Xenopus tropicalis: one gene and its partners. The protein of the gene in region 1 purifies or fractionates together with the protein of each later gene. This does not show direct contact. Links are inferred from orthologs where the notes say so. Each region holds a gene or a part of one and is shown in the gene's direction. Other genes may lie near its edges.

The links.
Region 2: the proteins of dcp1b (region 1) and edc4 purify together in Homo sapiens (affinity purification with mass spectrometry; 3 studies listed by BioGRID and IntAct, with this or other methods). This does not show direct contact. The link is inferred for Xenopus tropicalis from reciprocal best matches to the Homo sapiens genes DCP1B and EDC4.
Region 3: the proteins of dcp1b (region 1) and bag4 purify together in Homo sapiens (affinity purification with mass spectrometry; 3 studies listed by BioGRID and IntAct, counting the BioPlex papers as one, with this or other methods). This does not show direct contact. The link is inferred for Xenopus tropicalis from reciprocal best matches to the Homo sapiens genes DCP1B and BAG4.

Annotation. Positions count from the first base shown.
Region 1 is NC_030679.2:9,163,571-9,171,784, forward strand, and holds part of dcp1b (mRNA-decapping enzyme 1B), read left to right. Parts: intron 1-1,930; coding exon 1,931-2,056; intron 2,057-2,965; coding exon 2,966-3,667; intron 3,668-6,178; coding exon 6,179-6,427; intron 6,428-8,214. UniProt on the Homo sapiens protein: May play a role in the degradation of mRNAs, both in normal mRNA turnover and in nonsense-mediated mRNA decay. May remove the 7-methyl guanine cap structure from mRNA molecules, yielding a 5'-phosphorylated mRNA fragment and 7m-GDP.
Region 2 is NC_030680.2:41,314,165-41,322,378, forward strand, and holds part of edc4 (enhancer of mRNA-decapping protein 4), read left to right. Parts: intron 1-2,993; coding exon 2,994-3,147; intron 3,148-6,633; coding exon 6,634-6,745; intron 6,746-8,214. UniProt on the Homo sapiens protein: In the process of mRNA degradation, seems to play a role in mRNA decapping. Component of a complex containing DCP2 and DCP1A which functions in decapping of ARE-containing mRNAs. Promotes complex formation between DCP1A and DCP2.
Region 3 is NC_030679.2:132,219,486-132,223,085, forward strand, and holds the start of bag4 (BAG family molecular chaperone regulator 4), read left to right. Parts: upstream 1-1,248; 5' UTR 1,249-1,554; coding exon 1,555-1,734; intron 1,735-3,600. Other genes in the region: U6 snRNA-associated Sm-like protein LSm1, read right to left, coding at 898-943. UniProt on the Homo sapiens protein: Inhibits the chaperone activity of HSP70/HSC70 by promoting substrate release. Prevents constitutive TNFRSF1A signaling. Negative regulator of PRKN translocation to damaged mitochondria.

The DNA of each region.
Region 1 (8,214 bases):
GTGTGGAGAATACAATCCCGTATATCTGTCTGTCTGTCTATCTATCTGTCTGTCTGTCTGTCTTTCTGTCTGTCTATCATCTATCTATTTAATCTGTCTATCTATCATCTATCTATTTAATCTATCTATCTAGCTATCTGTCTATAATCTCTCTATCTGTCTGCCTATCTGTCTATCTGTCTATCTATCTATCTATCTATCTATCATCTATCTATTTAATCTGTCTATCTAGCTGTCTATCATCTATCTATCATCTATCTATTTAATCTGTCTATCATCTATCTATTTAATCTGTCTATCTAGCTATCTGTCTATAATCTATCTGTCTGTCTATCTATCTATCTATCTATCTATCTATCTATCTATCATCTATCTCTCTATATCTAGCTCTCTCTTAGTAGGTCTTCCACTGGCATATTATTGAGTTCTGTCTATCATCTATCTATTTAATCTATCTATCTAGCTATCTGTCTATCATCTATCTATCTGTCTATCATCTATCTATCTGTCTCTATCTATCTGTCTATCTATCTATCATCTATCTCTCTATATCTAGCTCTCTCTTAGTAGGTCTTCCACTGGCATATTATTGAGTTCTGTCTATCATCTATCTGTCTGCCTATCTATCTATCTATCTATCTATCTATCATCTATCTATCATCTATCTATCTATCTATCTATCTATCTATCATCTATCTATTTAATCTGTATGTCTGTCCATCTATCTATCTATCTGTCTGTCTGTCTATCTGTCTGTCTATCTATCTATCATCTATCTATTTAATCTGTCTATCTATCTAGCTGTCTATCTAGCTGTCTATCTGTCTATCATCTATCTATCATCTATCTATTTAATCTGTCTATCTATCTGTCTATCATCTATCTATCTATCTGTCTATCATCTATCTATCTGTCTCTATCTATCTATCATCTATCTCTCTATATCTAGCTCTCTCTTAGTAGGTCTTCCACTGGCATATTATTGAGTTCTGTCTATCATCTATCTATCTGTCTGCCTATCTATCTATCTATCTATCATCTATCTATTTAATCTATCTATCTATCATCTATCTATCATCTATCTCTATCATCTATCTATTTAATCTGTCTGTCTGTCCATCTATCTATCTATCTGTCTATCTATCTATCTATCTATCTATCTATCTATCTATCTATCTATCTATCTATCTATCTATCATCTATCTATTTAATCTGTCTATCTATCTAGCTATCTGTCTATAATCTGCCTATCTGTCTATCTATCTGTCTATCTGTCTGTCTATCTGTCTGGCTATCTGTCTGTCTATCTGTCTGTCTATCTGTCTGTCTATCTGTCTGTCTATCTGTCTGTCTGTCTGTCTGTCTGTCTGTCTGTCTGTCTGTCTGTCTGTCTGTCTATCTGTCTGTCTATCTGTCTGTCTATCTGTCTATCTATCTATCTATCTATCATCTATCTCTCTATATCTAGCTCTCTCTTAGTATGTCTTCCACTGGCATATTATTGAGTTCTGTCTATCATCTATCTATCTGTCTGTCTGTCTATCTATCTCTATCATCTATCTATTTAATCTCTCTATCTATCTATCTATCATCTATCTCTGTCATCTATCTATAAAATCTATCTATCTATCAATCTATCATCCATCTATCTATCTATCTATCTATCTATCTATCTATCTATCTCTCTATATCTAGCTCTCTCTTAGTAGGTCTTCCACTGGCATATTATTGAGTTGACAATACAGTGACTTTTTGTATATGCTGGAACAGTGGCAGTGGCCAAATTACTAAAAAAATATGGTTGCCTGTTTAAAGGAAAACTAAGCCTACTACGAGTCAGGAAACTGTTGGTTTCAGAAAGCAAGTGCAAATGTTTCCGTACCCACTTGTGAGAGATGGAAGTGTCTGATTGTTGTGTTTCTTTGCACAGTGCAAGTCGTGCTCCGAGCCCAAGATGATCACCAGCTCATCGGCCATCTACACCAACCCCAACCTCATCAAGCCCATTGCTGTTAAACCCAGTGAGTCCCAGCCGGGAAAGGTGAGAGCGTTAGAGGTGAGAGCAGTAGGGGCTTAGGGTTGTGCTTTCCTAACTGTGACCCACCTAGAAGGGAGCAGTGGCCTACCCTAAAGGTCCCCATACACGGGCCGATAGTAGCTGCCGATATGGGTCCCTTAGACAGACTCGGCAGCTAATCGGCCCCTGTAGGGGCACTAACGACTGGCCTGCCCGACCAATTTCTGACCTGAAATCGGGCAGATATCGATCAGGCAGGTTAAAAAATCTAGTCGGATCGGGGACCGCATCGGCTCGTTGATGCAGCCCCCGGACCGACTTTGCCTATACCCGCCGTTATAATTTGATCGTTTGGCCCGGATTCTCCCGATACCGCCCACCCGTAGGTGGGGGATATCGGGAGAAGATCCGCTTGCTTGGCAACATCCCCAAGCGAGCAGATCTGAAGGGGTATGGGCACCTTAAGGCCAAGGAGTAATCTCTGTAAACTGCGTGAAAACAGAACCCCTACACCAAGGTTCCTATATAGAAACATGGCCTGACCCAGTACCCATTTATTGGGGCTTTATGAATACTTCATTAAAGCTTAGTAATAGTTTATCAAATGTGATGGTGTAATAATGGTCTGTAAGCCACAGCAACCAATCAGATGTTTGTAAACAACAGACTGATAAATATAACCTGTTGATTGGCTGTTTTGGTTTACTTGAACTGTAGCAACTTTTGCACCAGTTATTACTTTCCATTACATGTATGAGGGCAGAAAACCTACCATCAGCCAGGTTGTTAGGCACCCCCTAGTGGTCACGCCCAGAGCGACCATGATTGGTGAGCAGTACTGTATGCTCCAGCTTGGCAATTGGGTAGCCAGAGCACCGAAAACGAGTGAAACTTACAGTCACCATAGTGTTAAACTGTGACTATGTTTTTTTTTTTATCCTTCCTTAGGCTGTGGAGTCAGAAAAGCAGCATTTATCTCTTACAGCTCTGTTCGGGAAGCCAGACAAAGCACAAGAGCAGATGAAGCTTCATTCCGAACCCGGCGCTGTGCGCCACTCGGTGGTCCGTTCCCTCTCGTATGAAGAACCTGGGAAGGCGACGGAGAATGTCGAGAAGCAGCTTTGCCCTGCCATCCAGAAACTCATGGTGGCGGGAAGTGGGCTGCAACCCGTCTCCGAGGTTCCTGAGAACAGGCCGTGCCATAATGGCAGCTATCCCCCCGATGGGGACATCCTCCCTGGCCTGTTCATCCCGGTGACGCACCAGGCTCCCTTTTCCAATCAGGACTATGAGAGCGGGAAAACTCTCTTGCAAACCCTTCACACAGCCCCAGTGGGGGGACCCAACGCCGACATGGTGTCCTCGTGCGCTGCACACTCACTTAATTACCACGACTGCTCTCTGCCGAACCAAAGGACTTCAGCCCCAATGCCTCCATTGCCTTTGTCTTCTCAACCTGTCATGGCCTCTGGCACCATCTCCCCACAGGAGCTGCTCAAGAAGCTAAATCTGGTGCGCCAGGAGCAGCAAATGCAAAGCAATCCCAGGCCGGCCCTAGCGGCTAAATTCCCGGTGGTCTCCCAGAGCGTGCCGAAAACATCCTGGGTGGAAAATATTCCTCGGGCTGAGAAACAGAATCTGCTCCTTCAGGTATCCGAGTAACAAGAGTATTAAAACAAAGTGGTAATATATAGGTATGGGACCAGAATGCTGGGGTTTTCCGGTTAAGGGATCTTTCCGTATTTTGGATTTCCATACCTTACGCCTGCTAAGAATCATTTAATATTGAATAAACCTAATAGGATTGTTCTGCCCCCAATAAGGGGTAATTATGTCTTAGTTGGGATCAAGTACAGGTACTGTTTTATTATTACAGAGAAAAGGGAATCATTTAACCATGAAATAAACCCAATAGGGCTGTTCTGCCCCCAATAAGGGGTAATTATATCTTAGTTGGGATCAAGTACAGGTACTGTTTTATTATTACAGAGAAAAGGGAATCATTTAACCATTAAATAAACCCAATAGGGCTGTTCTGCCCCCAATAAGGGGTAATTATATCTTAGTTGGGATCAAGTACAGGTACTGTTTTATTATTACAGAGAAAAGGGAATCATTTAACCATGAAATAAACCCAATAGGGCTGTTCTGCCCCCAATAAGGGGTAATTATATCTTAGTTGGGATCAAGTACAGGTACTGTTTTATTATTACAGAGAAAAGGGAATCATTTAACCATGAAATAAACCCAATAGGGCTGTTCTGCCCCCAATAAGGGGTAATTATATCTTAGTTGGGATCAAGTACAGGTACTGTTTTATTATTACAGAGAAAATGTAAATAATTTTCAGAAATTAGAATTATTTGCTTATAATGAAGTCTATGGGAGACGGCCTTTCTGTAATTTTAGAACTTTCTGGATAACGGGTTTCCGGATAAGGGATCCCATACCTGTATCTAGATATATACATGCATGCAACTGAATTTAATGTCATATTGTTACATGCATTTTCGTTTTCTGACAAGACTCTTGGCACATATTCTCAGCTGGCAGGGAAGTGCCCATATGTGGTTCTGCAGTCTGTCATTTTGTCATTTATGTAAATGTGATCTACCATTCTAAATGGCATCATGGAAACCCACGCTTTGCACCATGGGAAACTCATAGGATAGGAATCCCTGGAACAAGGGAAGCAATATAGCAGCTTCCCTCCAAATATGTATATATATATATATATATATATATATATATATATATATATATATATATATATATATATACAGAGAAGAAATGTTCTCTATACTATAAACTATATTATATTGTTCTAAAAAACAATATTGCAGCTATTTCCCATATGTATAAATGCAAGGATACAGAGAAGGAATGTTCTGGGCACACAATAAGCTGTACCCCCATACTGTACTGTCTAAGGGAAACACTATGGCACCTCCTACCCATATGTATAAATACAAATATACAGAGAAGGAATGTTCTGGGCACACAATAAGCTGTACCCCCATACTGTACTGTCTAAGGGAAACACTATGGCACCCCCTACCCATATGTATAAATACAAATATACAGAGAAGGAATGTTCTGGGCACACAATAAGCTGTACCCCCATACTGTACTGTCTAAGGGAAACACTATGGCACCCCCTACCCATATGTATAAATACAAATATACAGAGAAGGAATGTTCTGGGCACACAATAAGCTGTACCCCCATACTGTACTGTCTAAGGGAAACACTATGGCACCCCCTACCCATATGTATAAATACAAATATACAGAGAAGGAATGTTCTGGGCACACAATAAGCTGTACCCCCATACTGTACTGTCTAAGGGAAACACTATGGCACCCCCTACCCATATGTATAAATACAAATATACAGAGAAGGAATGTTCTGGGCACACAATAAGCTGTACCCCCATACTGTACTGTCTAAGGGAAACACTATGGCACCCCCTACCCATATGTATAAATACAAATATACAGAGAAGGAATGTTCTGGGCACACAATAAGCTGTACCCCCATACTGTACTGTCTAAGGGAAACACTATGGCACCTCCTACCCATATGTATAAATACAAATATACAGAGAAGGAATGTTCTGGGCACACAATAAGCTGTACCCCCATACTGTACTGTCTAAGGCAGGGATCCCCAACCTTTCTTACTCGTGAGCCACAGTCAAATGTAAAAAGACTTGGGGAGCAACACAAGCACCATAAAAGTTCATGGAGGAGCCAAATAAGGGCTGTGATTGGCTATTAGGGGCCTCTATGCACCCTATCAGCTTACAGGGGGCTTTATTTGGTAGGAAATCTTGTTTTTATTCAACCAAAACTTGCCCCCAAGTCAGGAATTCAAAAATAACTCCCTGGTTTGGGGGCACTGAGAGCAACATCCAAGGGGTTGGGGAGCAACATGTTGCCCCTGAGACACTGGTTGGGGATCACTGGTCTAAGGGAAACATTATGGCACCTCCCTCCCATATGTATAAATACAAATATACAGAGAAGGAATGTTCTGGGCACACAATAAGCTGTACCCCCATACTGTACTGTCTAAGGGAAACACTATGGCAGCAACCCACCTCTTGGTAATGTGTCTGCCAGCAATAAGCCTGTAATATGCTGCCCTTTCTATCCACAGCAAGCCTCCTCTCCTCAGCATATCCCAGCCTCTGTGTCACCAGCACTGCTGATGTCCCCCATGGTATTTGCCCAGCCAAGCCTGCAGACCAGGACAAATGAAACAGCCAACCTCTCCCTTTGTACCAAAGAGCCCTCCAATCTGCTCTTCCCCGCTGCATTCCCAGAGAACCCCACGAACACCATGAATAGCTGGAACGGCGTCCTCACTAGGAGTCAGCTCCAGGAGACCCTGCTGCACCTTATCCAGGTGAGATCTGAGCATAGGGCTACAGAGAAAGTGTGTGTGTATATATATATATATATTTATATATATATATATATATATATATATATATATACAATCCAGAGTGGGAGCACACCATTAAGTATAATAAAAACCTAGGTGCCAGAGCTGAAAAAAATCTACAAACCAATTCAAAGTGTCGGCACTCATAGGATTTCCGCAACAAAAGCACAGCAAATAAAGTTTCTTATTAATGCAGGTGATGTGGTTTATTAATCCGACGTTTCAGTCCTTTACTTGGACTTTCATCTCCCTGATGAAAGTCCAAGTAAAGGACTGAAACGTCGGATTAATAAACCACATCACCTGCATTAATAAGAAACTTTATTTGCTGTGCTTTTGTTGCGGAAATCCTATGAGTGCCGACACTTTGAATTGGTTTATATATATATATATTTATATATATATATGTATGTATGTATGTATATGTATATATAATGTAAAAGTAAAAAAAAAAAAACCCCACAGTTCTCTCATATATATAATGCAATTTCTGGTGAGGAATAAATCAGGACACCCCAGCATTTAGTCCCGCCTAAAATGGCTCAAATCACACACAGGTGTATCACATCAGGTGCACATGATTAGAACTGCCTGAGGCCCTTAGGCTGATGCCACACCAGGCGTAGGGCTGATTTTTTCGGCAAGCGGAAAAACGCTTGCCGAAAAATCAGCCCTACGCCTGCTACTTGTGCCTGCACCCGAATGAATGGAATACGCTCGGGTGCAGGCACATGTAGCCGATATACGCACGAAAACGCGCGAGAATGCAAAGTCTCGCGTTTTCTTGCGTATATCGGCTACATGTGCCTGCACCCGAGCGTATTCCATTCATTCGGGTGCAGGCACAAGTAGCAGGCGTAGGGCTGAATTTTCGGCAAGCGTTTTTCCGCTTGCCGAAAAAATCAGCCCTACGCCTGGTGTGGCATGAGCCTTACAAAGAAGATTGTAGCAGCTTATAAGTCTGGTAAGGGATTTCAAAAGATCTCAAAAGAATTTGAAATCTTCCATTCCACTGTCTGGAAAATATAGACCCAAGAGGAGCACTCAAAACAAAATTAACCGCCTGGGTGCTGATAAAATTTAGTAAATAGAAAGAATCGGTACCACCGCACTCGCAATCAAAAAAGGTTTATATAATGGTTAAATGATTCCCTTTTCTCTGTAATAATAAAACAGTACCTGTACTTGATCCCAACTAAGATATAATTACCCCTTATTGGGGGCAGAACAGCCCTATTGGGTTTATTTCATGGTTAAATGATTCCCTTTTCTCTGTAATAATAAAACAGTACCTGTACTTGATCCCAACTAAGATATAATTACCCCTTATTGGGGGCAGAACAGCCCTATTGGGTTTATTTAATGGTTAAATGATTCCCTTTTCTCTGTAATAATAAAACAGTACCTGTACTTGATCCCAACTAAGATATAATTACCCCTTATTGGGGGCAGAACAGCCCTATTGGGTTTATTTCATGGTTAAATGATTCCCTTTTCTCTGTAATAATAAAACAGTACCTGTACTTGATCCCAACTAAGATATAATTACCCCTTATTGGGGCAGAACAGCCCTATTGGGGTTATTTAATGGTTAAATGATTCCCTTTTCTCTGTAATAATAAAACAGTACCTGTACTTGATCCCAACTAAGATATAATTACCCCTTATTGGGGGCAGAACAGCCCTATTGGGTTTATTTAATGGTTAAATGATTCCCTTTTCTCTGTAATAATAAAACAGTACCTGTA
Region 2 (8,214 bases), on another chromosome or scaffold:
AAATGTACTTGTCACCCTAATTTGCTAGATGGCTATATCTTGGAATTTGACTTAGGAACAAAAGAGGACCAAACATAAACTTCATGGTTTAACTTTTTTAGTGCCAGCAAATATTTGATAAGTGTGTGCACTAAACAGCCATTCAATTGTTCAACATTTTTGTTTTTAACTTTAGAGGATACCTGAGGGTAAATATTTAATTCTAGTTAGAAAAGCCACATTTTGTTTTTTAGTACATCAGCTTTCTAAGTATACCTGTAACTGTGTGGCTCTGAATACCTGCAAATTGAATAAAGGTCTTATTTTTCATAATACAGGTATGGGATCTGTTATCAGTAAACCCGTAATGCAGAAAGTTTAATTAAAAGAAGCCCATCTCTAGAATGCATTTTAATCAACAAAAAACAAATCACATTTTTAAAAATGGTTTCCTTGTACTCCGTAATAATGTTGCTTGATCCCAACTAAAATATAATCTAGCCTTAGTGGTGGCAAATCAATACCATTGTGTTTATTTAACGTTTAAATGATTTATTGGTAGACTTAAGGTTTGGTGAACCCAATTACAGAAAACCTTGGAAAATTCCAGGTCCCAAGCATTCTGGAGAACCGGTCCCATGACTGTATAGTGTTGTTTATACATAGGAAACTGGCTAAAGCATTGTGTACAGTGAGGGTTTTAGTGGGCTCCCATAGGGTTCTGTAAAAACTATTTTTTTAATTTGTTCATTAATTACTTATGAGGGGGCACAAAACTTTGTAGGTCAATTAATTCCATACAGGATGTGACCTCTTTTTCAGCAGGATCTCTGCAAACTGGGTGGCTAAGTGGCAGATGAGATTCAGTGTTTGCACCTGGGATATAAAATATACAAGCAACTTATACATTCAATGGGACTGTGTTAGACAAATCCATAATGGTGAAGGGCCTAAAGGGATTGTAGAAACTTGGCTGCAGCAAGCAATGCCAGTCAGCAGCTGCAAGGGCAAACAAGGTTTTGAGTTTTATTAAAAGGGCATACATTCATGGGAGGAGTGGATAATTTTTCTTTACAAACAGTTCCTATCTAGAAGAAAATGCAGTGCTGTTTTGGTCTCAAGTGCTAAAGTAGAATATTATTGAATTAGAGAAAGTTAAAAGAAGGACAAATAAGCTGGTAAAGCACGTCTTTATTTGGGAGGCTGATCCCTAATTTCATTCTGTGTCGAAATGAATGATTTGTGGTAACATGAAATAACACACAAGGCAGAGCCCTGAGTTATTCAGGCCACTGTACGCAGAGGCTTGATGTTTTTGAAACAAAAACAAACTGTTTAAGTCCCCGTGCATGAAAAGATCCAGGTGGCTTCAGGATAAAGATTTAATTGAAATCCAAACAGCTATATTGAATTTTCTAGAAACATGGTATGAGAAGAACAGGGGAACTGAGACAGGGTCTCGACATATGCCAATGGAGATAGGGAATGACCAGGGTGGAACCAGAATGGGCAAGTGTAAAAGGCGTTGGGGTAGGGTTTCAGTGGACATGTATGGCAGGTGTTGGTTGTAAAATGTGTCAAGCTGATGAGTAGACATTGTTTCAGTAAATAATTACCAAGAAGGAGTTATTATAGAACAACTTTTAGGAAGCCACATACAGTGTGACCTTATGAACTAATGTACTTCCATACAATTACCAGTGCTACCACTAGCATGTAGGTTACCCAGGGGTGCTGCTGCCATGTGTGACAGCAGCCTGCAAGTTACCAGGGGCAGCAAAAAGCTACAACTGGTAATTTCAAGAGATGTAATTTCCAATTTTTTAATTGGAATTTTGGCTCTGCTAGTGCATAAGTACATAAGCAGCATTTGCTAATTTTTTCAACTGATCAAGCAGACGGCATACATAATGCAGAAATCTATTCAATAGGCGCATTCAGTGGGAAATGTCAAAACAAAGTTGTCACAGTTTTATAAAAAAAAAAAAAAAAGTTGCCAGCTATATCACACTGCACAGATAGTTTACTTAAATAATACTGTATTTTACTTAAATAACTTTTCAAACACAGGCAAAGCCAGAGTGGGTAAAAAAAAATCTTACAACCTTTTGTAACCTTTTGATGAGCTGGATGCAAAAGTCTTGAAAGACAAACAATTTACCCTAACCCTTTAACTTGAGTTTTTGAACAACAATACAAGTATAATCACTGGAAAAAAAAAGTAAAATAACTAAAATGTTTAAAATAGATAAACAAGTTTTATTGATAAGTAGTCCGTGGCCAAAATCGCTGCTCCGGGAGTGGATTCTTTGGAATTATTTGGGTTGGTGAAGAACAAACCTGGAAAGTGCTTTTCAAGCCCTTTTTGTCTGCTGCCTATGTTACCAAAAAAAACAACAAAACTTCTATTTAGTATTCACTGGCTTGAGTATTGTATAAATCTTTTGCACTCCATTTTTGCCCTAGTCATTCTCTAGATTTTTAATTTTTGGGGAGGTTTTTCGGCTATAAAAATGACTTCAAAGTAGTTTTCCCAACACATTACAAATCATGCTGTTTACAGTTTGAGAAATGTAGTTTACATTTATACATCGGCATATCATAAAACAAAGGTGAATATGTGTGTTATCTATTTAGTAAAGTAAAGTGCAGCGATAACTGTGTAGTTTTTAAATCTTTCAGCTGTAAGCCAAATTGAAGCATTTGCTTTATCAATGCTGACCTTGACTGCAACTTCTGACTGAAGTGGAGTTTGTCGTTGAAAAAGTGACCACACCATGCCTGTCTAGTTGTCAGCTTTTTAAACAGTGTTGTCTGGTACTAATAGGTTCATGGGGAACTAGTAGGTTCACTTGGAGGATCAATAACCTATGTGGCCAGATAGGATTTGTTCACAAAAAATCTGGAATGTAGTTGGTCAGCGTTCCACTTTTAAATATTGGGCTGCAATTCTGGAGGTAGATGTGATCAACTTGCAATGCAAAAAACTTTAAAATAAACAAACTTTTTTTCAGATTCAGTTAATGGAAACCAGAGGAAATCTAACTCCTCCTTCAGCAGTGATCTGAATGGTCTTCTTGTTACTGATCAAGTTGCAGCTGTGGGTACCTCCTTGTCTGATACAAACCTCTGCAGTGCTGCAGTGTTGAGTTCAGAAAGACAGATCATGTGAGTGTATCTTTCTCCCAGGTTTACCAAACTCTCATTCTGTACAGCCCTTTTATGTCCTGTCAAATACTGTTACCTGAATGCCAACTTCTCTTGTGTATATGTGTTTAGATAACAGAGGACTCGCAGTTGGTGAAAAAACAAAATGTTCTTTATTGTGCAAAAATCGACATTTCGGTCACAATTTAGGACCTTTCTCAAGATGCGTTATGGTGTCCAAATCCCCATTAAATACCCTGTGATTGAATTTGGGCCAAATCACTGTGATGTCACCCATCCCCCACAGCAGAAATAGTAACGATTAAGCAAAATAGGACTAATATGAAAGGATTCAACAAAAAGGAAACTGTATCAGAAAAAAAATGCAAACCAGTGAACATAAGTATAAGTGGCTGTTTGAAACATATTTTCAAAAAGGAGGAAATGTAGCGATTAGGATGTGTTACATAAAATAGAAGCTTGTGATGGGGTAACCGATACAATCTAGCAAGTATAGGACCATAGCTGTACAGGACTAGAAAGAATTACTTACAAAAGCCATATCCAAATGGCGCACAAGGAGCAGGAGCGAGTCGCGTTGCCATGGCAAAAAGGCACAAGTGTCAGCAGGTAATAGAGACAAGAGGAGCTTGTCCTTAATGGCCATATGAAAAGGCCACGTGTGGCTGGGGGCACATAGAACATGTATATCAATTGGCCCAGTTAGGCTAACGTTTCGGTCCACATTAGGACCTTTATCAAGGATAACAAATAATGACTTTAAGATCAAACGACCTGTTAATTCATGTCAATAGGTCTGTCCACTTGGGGGCACAACTTTTGTGTATTTTCGTTAATTTGCACGACTTTTTCGTACTTTGCAATAATTGGTGCGACAAAATCATATTTGTCGCAGCGAGTACGAAAGTTTCGGAATTCATTCAAGCTTTGGTATCGTGACTTTCCTTGGGCCAGGTTAGAGCTGCAGAGTGCCATTGAGTCCTATGGGAGGCTTCCAAAATCATGCACAAAAGGATCAAAGTCAGACGTTTGTGATTGTTCGGATATGAATATTTCATAACTTTCGGATTGTACCACAATATTTTCGTACAAGCACGGTGCGACTTTTCGCTAAATTAACGCACATGAGAAATTTTCATATTTAATGGGAATTTTCACAAATCGTACTCTTAATTCGAACTTTAATGAATCAGCCCCTTGGTGTCGCTCACTTAATCACCTGAAAAAGTGACTGTGCGTTCTATCATGTTGCCATACCAAACACATCCTAGTAACTGTGCATTTTACCATTCTAAGATACCCAAATTTATATATAATATTAAAACTTTCAATATTAAATGCTGTTAAAAACACATTGCTATATGTTCCAGTGATCAAGTGTAAGATTTAACAATATATACAATAATAGTAGCACGTGATACTCCTTAAACAGCATTATAAGAATTATAAAAAGTATATAGTGTATTTCAATTACAAAAAGTTCCAAAAATACAAAAAAGTCCAATGACCTTTGCATTGGCCATGATTTAAGACCGTCCATCCTGAAAAATATATATAAAAAAAAAACAAAAAAAAAAACAACTTTTATATCTAACCATTGTTTTAAAAATTAAAAACCACACATATATTAGGATGTTAGGATATCACAGAACTCATGTCTGAAAGCAAGCCATACTAAATTGTCCATTCAAGCCCCTTGATGTTGCACGGTTTAACTTGTGTATCCAATATGTCTCTAATTAATTTAAGGAGCTCCTTTGCTAAATCCTCACCTCTTGGGCATCTGCCTATTGCTTCGCTACCGGTTATTTTGCTATATCCTTCTCCTCAATTTTTTTTTCTGCCTTTTAGGATCTAATGCTGCCCTTATGGGATGCCCTGTGCATCCTTTCTTTGAGTTATTTTACTGTCTTTCCACAATATAATAGCCCATATGGGCTTTTAATTATGTAGACAACCTTTGTGGAAGTACAGGTCAATCTCTGCTTGATCATTTTTTACCAGGATGTTCAAAATACACTCCTTGTATGAGGCTGCTGCACATAACCCATCCCTTACATCTATAGGCTCCAGGCCGTGGGCTCAAAAAAATGTCTAGCATGTTGTATAGTGTATCAGAGTGGCTTAATTACTCTTTTAAAGGAGGACTATACCCCCAGGCGATAAAAGCCCCCTTAATTATCACTGCCTTGACCCCCCCCCCACACATCTCCCTTATCGCATAAAACGGCTCTGCTTGCGCTTGTGCAGTTGGTGGAAGGAGGAAAACTGCTTAAACTGTGCATGAGCAAGCAGGGTCCGTGTTGGTGGTGAGACCTGTGGTGCAACTGAAGTGTCTTCAGTTGCTAAGAAGATGTCTGTCGGGTACGCTGCTGTGCTACTTTGCTGTTTTAGCTAGGGGTTAGTGATAGGGACGGTTGTTAAAGGTGAAGGAATGGCTAATAAAGAGTTAATCTCAAGCTGCAGGCATACCTTCAATTCTCTCAATAGTGCCCTTAAGTCTCCTCATATTTCACCTGTGCAAATGATCAGAAGCCAAACAGGAAGAAAAAAACTCTGAGCTGTGTAAATAAAGTTCTCATAATGCCTTGCTCCTGCACAGAGACCCAGACCAGTGTACATGCTTAGTTTGTAAGACTATGAGGAAGCTTCCTGCTGATTGGCTCAGATATACATTCCTAAGGGGGGAGTGAGTTCTTGGTATTCTTGAGGGAGTAGGGAGCAGGAGAGGGGAGAGAGCTGTGTGTCTCTGGCAGAGGAAAACAGACACCACAAATCTTTTGACAGAGAAGTCAGTGCAGCGTTTCTGTGAGTGCTTATGGTTGTATTTACATAGAGCTTTCTGATAAATCTTACTTAGTTTTTACCTTTCCTTCTCCTTTAAGCTTAGAAACTATGCAATAAGGGAGAGGTGATAGGGGTTAATGGGGGCTTTTATCACCTGGGGGTATAGTTCTACTTTAAGTTCCGTGCCCGTTTAAAACTGAACTTAGGCTTTTTTGGAAACAAAGCTTGTAAACTATTCTTATATTATGAAACACAACACTCAACAGGCTTAGTACAGAGAAACTTGTATAATTGGCAAGTTGTAAAGAAAAAAATTGCAATATTTAATTCACATCAATGTGATCTTTCTTCCTGAGTGCAAATAAAGTATAATGCCCAGTGGTCATATTACAGTACAGTACATACCTTCATTAGGGTAATTTACAAATAACTGAGTTGGCCCTGTGGCTCATAGCATTGTTTCATATAAGCCACTCTGCAAAACAATATTAAAAACAACTCCTCAAACTTAGAAACCGTTCATCTTTTTGCCTCTTTTTATTCTGTTATATCACCAGAATGAGATGCAAATTGTTGTATACCACATTATTCACCGTATTGACAGTTTTATACCTTTATATAAGTCCTATATGTTTTCAGTCAAAAATGTTATTGTTTTGTTTTTTGTCCCAGCCTTAATCACTGTTATTATTGTCTTAGTTGCCTATCTGGAGATGACAGCTCTTCTTGCATTGAAATCACTGCTAAAGATGTAGAAATCGTTGCCAGCCATGACTCTAATATATGCAGCAAAGCAAGAGGCAGCAACAAGGTAAATATGTTTTTAGTACTTCAGTTACCTTGTCAGTGTTTCATGGGTAGCATTTTGTACAGTGGTTGGTGAATATTGTGCTAGGAATTGTTTCAGTGAGAATTTAGTTTGTAAATAAAGATGGATAATCTAGATTGTTACTAGCTATTCCAGCAGACTGTATTACATGTAACCTTTTATAGAAAGCCTTTCTTAAAGGTAGCGACCGGTTAAAGGGGGTCTAAGCCCAAAAAATGAATTGATGCAAAGTTACTCTGAGCACTTTTCTGAGCGCTTTTGCAGTATATTTATCCCATATCTGACATTGTATATATCTCATATCTGGCATGTATTTTGTATGTTTAGCCTAATCTTAGGCAGTTCTGTTAACTTGTTAAAAGTAGGGATGCACCAAATCCAGGATTCGGTTCAGGATTTGGCCAAGATTCACTCCTTTTCATGCTCCTGGCTGACCCGAAATCCATAAAATCACTTGACTTGTCACATAAACACGTAAGTAGTAAATTTGTCACAGCGCACAGAGCTCTTTAACCTTTACATATCCTTATTTACCTGTGCAAATTTGGTTTGCTATTCAGCCAAATCTTTTATAAAGCGTTCGGCCAAATCCAAAAATAGTGGATTTGGTGCATCCCTAATTAAAAGTTCTATGCCAGATATAGCTCATACAGCATGTTGGAGGGCCACATTCAATTTAAATGTCATATAGTAAAGTTCATGGCGCTTCAGAGCAGACCGGAGGCCATAAAAATCCTGTGGAGGGCCACATCAGACCTGTGGGCCTCCAGTTGGACAACCCTGATTTATATATAGGCACAAGTACCTGGGTGTAAGTGGAAAATTAAAGGTATGAATTAAAAAGCTCCATACTCATATTTCTTTTTGTTGCAAAAACCATGAATTACATCTGTATCTATCTAGACATCTAAATATTATGTACCCTTGCATAAATGTATTTACCTGGGTGCCTGCGCTTTAAACATTTAAATACACACAGGAACCTTTCAAGAAAACCAGTGCTGTGATACAAACAACTGGTTAAAAGGGCAGCTTTTGCCAGGCAACCCCCCTGTACAACCCCCATCATATGACTTCATCAAAGACCCTGTATATTCACTTAGGGGAGGCACATCATATGACAGATTTTATAACATTTCTTTAATTTCTTACATTTCTCTTAACATTTTGTTTCACTTAAAAAAAAAAAAACGAATTTATGAAAACAAACTGCTTTATACATCATTTTTCATAGATTACACATTTATGTCAGTCCCCGCCCCAGTAGAACTTTTAGTCTAAAGTCCCTATCACTTTCACACAAATTAGGGTTACTATCGGGAGCCAATTGACCTGCCTATGTGTTTTTTAGGGTGTGGGAGTAAGTACCTGGGGGAAACCCACAAAGAATTTGGGAGAGCACGCAAATTCCTTCCAGATAGCACCCAACCCAAAGAACTCATGATTCCAGT
Region 3 (3,600 bases), about 120 Mb from region 1:
CACAGACAATTAGTAAATTATCGGCATTGTCTATTATAGTAGCTGTGACAAGTAGCTGCTACTAGCTCTGTGTGGCTTCACTCTAAAGGAGAAGGAAAGGCTTTTTTACACTTCTGTAACCCCTTATGCCCAGCAATTTGCTGAAAATCACCCCAGCTTGGGATACGATTATAGGGGACGCCAGGCCAAAAAGGTTTTCAGTGAGGAGTGCAAGCCAGGGTCTAAGCTTAGTGATTATAATCATTGAGCAAAGAATTGGCAATAAACCTTTCCTTCTTCTTGAAGATTAGGGGTATTTGACATTAAAAGGATGTAACAGGTGTCCCTTCCTGTACTGCTGATTCAGACTACTGTAACAAAGTAGCAGACAGCTACTTTCCGCCGACTTCCGCTACAGTATTTCAAAAGTCAGACCCAGGGAACAGAAGGGGGATCAACAAATACATCTGCCATTACATTTGCAAATAACTTAAAACATGTAACTATTTCTATGCAACTTTCCAATATACTAAGTTTTTCAATGTAGTTCCCCTTTGCTAAGTGTGTTTCTAAGGCTACTGCAGTTGCCCATTTGGCTAGTTGCTAGGGAACAGACCAGGTTTGAATGACAGACGAGATAATAGATATGAAAGTGGCTCAATAGAAACTACTTTAGCAATTCACATAAGCCAAACGGCGAATCTGTTGCCATGCTTCACTCTGCCCATAGTTACAAGTGTAGTGAGTATGTGTGTAGGTATTAAACTACAACTCCCAGCACCGCACAATGGTAGGGGTGGAAGGTACATGTTAAGCTACGAGTGTATCGCCCATGCCTTCTATGGCGCCTAGGCTGCAGACTTGCGTTTAACCAGCTCACTTGTTGGGAGTCAGGGACATATATAATCAAATACTGACTGTCTATATCCTCTATGAGGCTGGCGGTCCCGGGCATATAATTCATCCTCTTTCCCGACCCTCCACGGGCCACTACCTCAAACCGGACAACACACAAAACTGGCCTCCAAAAGCACCGCCATCCTATTAAAAAAATGGCACTTCCGGCGGGACGAAGGCTCGTCTTATGGGCGGTGAATATGTACGTGACGCCATATTCAAGCGCCCGGCTGATGACTTCTGCGCCTCCCCGACATTTTTTGCTGGGCTTCCAATTTCGTCCTATTGGTGGTTGAACTAGTGTGGGCGTGGTTAAAATGGTTACCGGCCAATTAGAAATCTGAACCCAATTATTTCGCCGACTTTGCTCAACAACGATTGGTCGCATTCACGCATTCGATGCCTTTCACTTTCCCATTGGATGAAGTGACTTTTACATGACGTGCTGTTCGTGCGCAGTTACCCTGACCCCGATGACAATCAGTTCCCTCTCACTTTTTATTGGCCGCTAGCTAGAGATAGAGGCGTTTCTGAATCAGCGCACTTGCGCTCCATTGGCTGTTTGTTGTCTAGCTTCGTATTGATTGGCTGTAGGCGAGGTGCCAGGCTCTCACTGGTCGCTCTGCGTCGGCTCAGTTGACACTCGCTTACTCTCTAGCTCCCTGAATTGGAGGGTCCATGTCTGCCGCGCACAGGCCTGTGGAGGGAGGTGGGGGATACTATGGGGGTGCAGGAGCGGATGTGCTGGCAAGACAGCGGGGGGAAGGTGAGGCAGAGTGGAGAACTGGCTATTACCCACAGGAGGCGGAGAGAAGCTGGGCCGGAGGAGGGACAGGGGGAGGAGCTCCTGGAACTCAGGTGAGTAATTGCAGAAGTCAGGACGCAAAGTCATCAGGTAAAGTGTCATGGGTGTCTTTCTTGTTTCCATCCATCCAAACTACAGCACCTTTTCCTGAGGGGATCTGGGCAGGGGGCGGGTTGGATACCAAACGTGTCCATTCATTACCTGTATACATGGATATCCGGTACCTAATACATACGTGTGTGTATATATATATATATATATATATATATACAGAGCCTCTAGAGGCGCCTTTGTGCTACTCCTCCATAAACACTGGCCATTCATTTCCTATATAGTGAAATTGAACATTTAAAGGTCAAGTAAAGCCCACTATAAGCCAGTTTTAATTGACTAATATTAACACGTATTTACAAACCAACAACATATTTTGCAGCTTTTCATATACATAAAACATACAGATCACACACAAATATGAATTGATACAGAGGGACCTTTGTTTTGCTTGCCATAAGGCAACTTTATGGGGCTGGAGTACAATGACACTTGGGAAACCACAACCTAAACTTATGCCATAAGGGGGCGCTCTTCTATGGCAAAATGTAATGCTGCCATCCCTTAATATGGTAACATCAGGAATCTTGACTAAGGTGGCGGGATGTCTTTCCAAAATGTTTATATGTATGTATGTATAAGCGCCACAAGGGTACGCAGCACTGTACAATCTTACAATATACCAAATTACACACAGGGAGGACAAGTGTTATAAAAAATACAGTAAATAAGTATAAATACACAGGGAGTAAGTGCCATGTGGAATGAGACACAGTAGGAAGGAGGTCCCTGCCCCGTAAAGCTTACAATCTAAGTGGTTGGGTAACATACAGGCACAAATTGGAAGGTAAGAGTGCACCAGGTATGGGCATTTGCCCTTAAGCGCAGGACTGGGCAAGATAATGTTTTAGTGCTCCAGAAGGTAGTATATGTTATGCCCAAACAATGGCACCCATACTATTTTTTTAAAAAAAATGATCAGACCCGTTGGGCTAGGTAGAGCACTATGGAGCTTTAAGGGTGGCCGCCAGTAGGTGGGGGACAAGCCATCACATTGGAGGCTTTATGAGGGAGTATTTTAATGAGAAATTCTTTCTAGTTTATTGCTACTGTATAACAACATGAAGTACTAGCAGCATTTACACACATAATCCATTTCCAGAGCTGCCAAACAGAATGCTTGCATTAGATTCGTTTAATATGGTTACACTCATACAGATAACATCTCCATAACGCGGACAGATTCCTGATTTGAATTATTCCAAAATTAACTCCTATAACGTGTGCAGTAAGGACTGGCCACATTCTTTTCAGCACTTTCATAATGAGGCCTAAGAAGTGCCTACGGCCAATACATCTATAAAACCTAACCTAGAATCTAACTGCTTTATAATTATCCTGTGCTGCAGCTTTCTAGCCCTGTGTATATTTGGCAGACTTGTAATCAATACATTCCTTTTCCATTCCAAATTGGTAAATCCCAGTGAGCTGACTGCCATTTCCTGAGCAATTGCCTTTTATAGTCAGATCTTTCTGTGCTGAACCCCTTTCCATGCTGGGTTCTAATAACCTCACTGATCTCCAAAGCAAACACAGATACATTATCTTCTTGGCATTCTAGCGCTTATCAGGTTTTTTCTGTTCAATTCTTGTTCCTCAGCACCCCCTTGCCCCCTATATTTTGGCTCAGGAAAACATAGCCATAACAATAATAGAAACTGAAAAACAATGTGGGTCCCAGTACTGATCGTTGTGATACTTTTTGATTTAACCACTTTATCTTCTCCATGGTTGGCAGTGAGTGTCGTGATGTTGCTAAGCTGCCTCAAATTCTAATGCAGAATTCTAAATATATCCCACTGACTTCC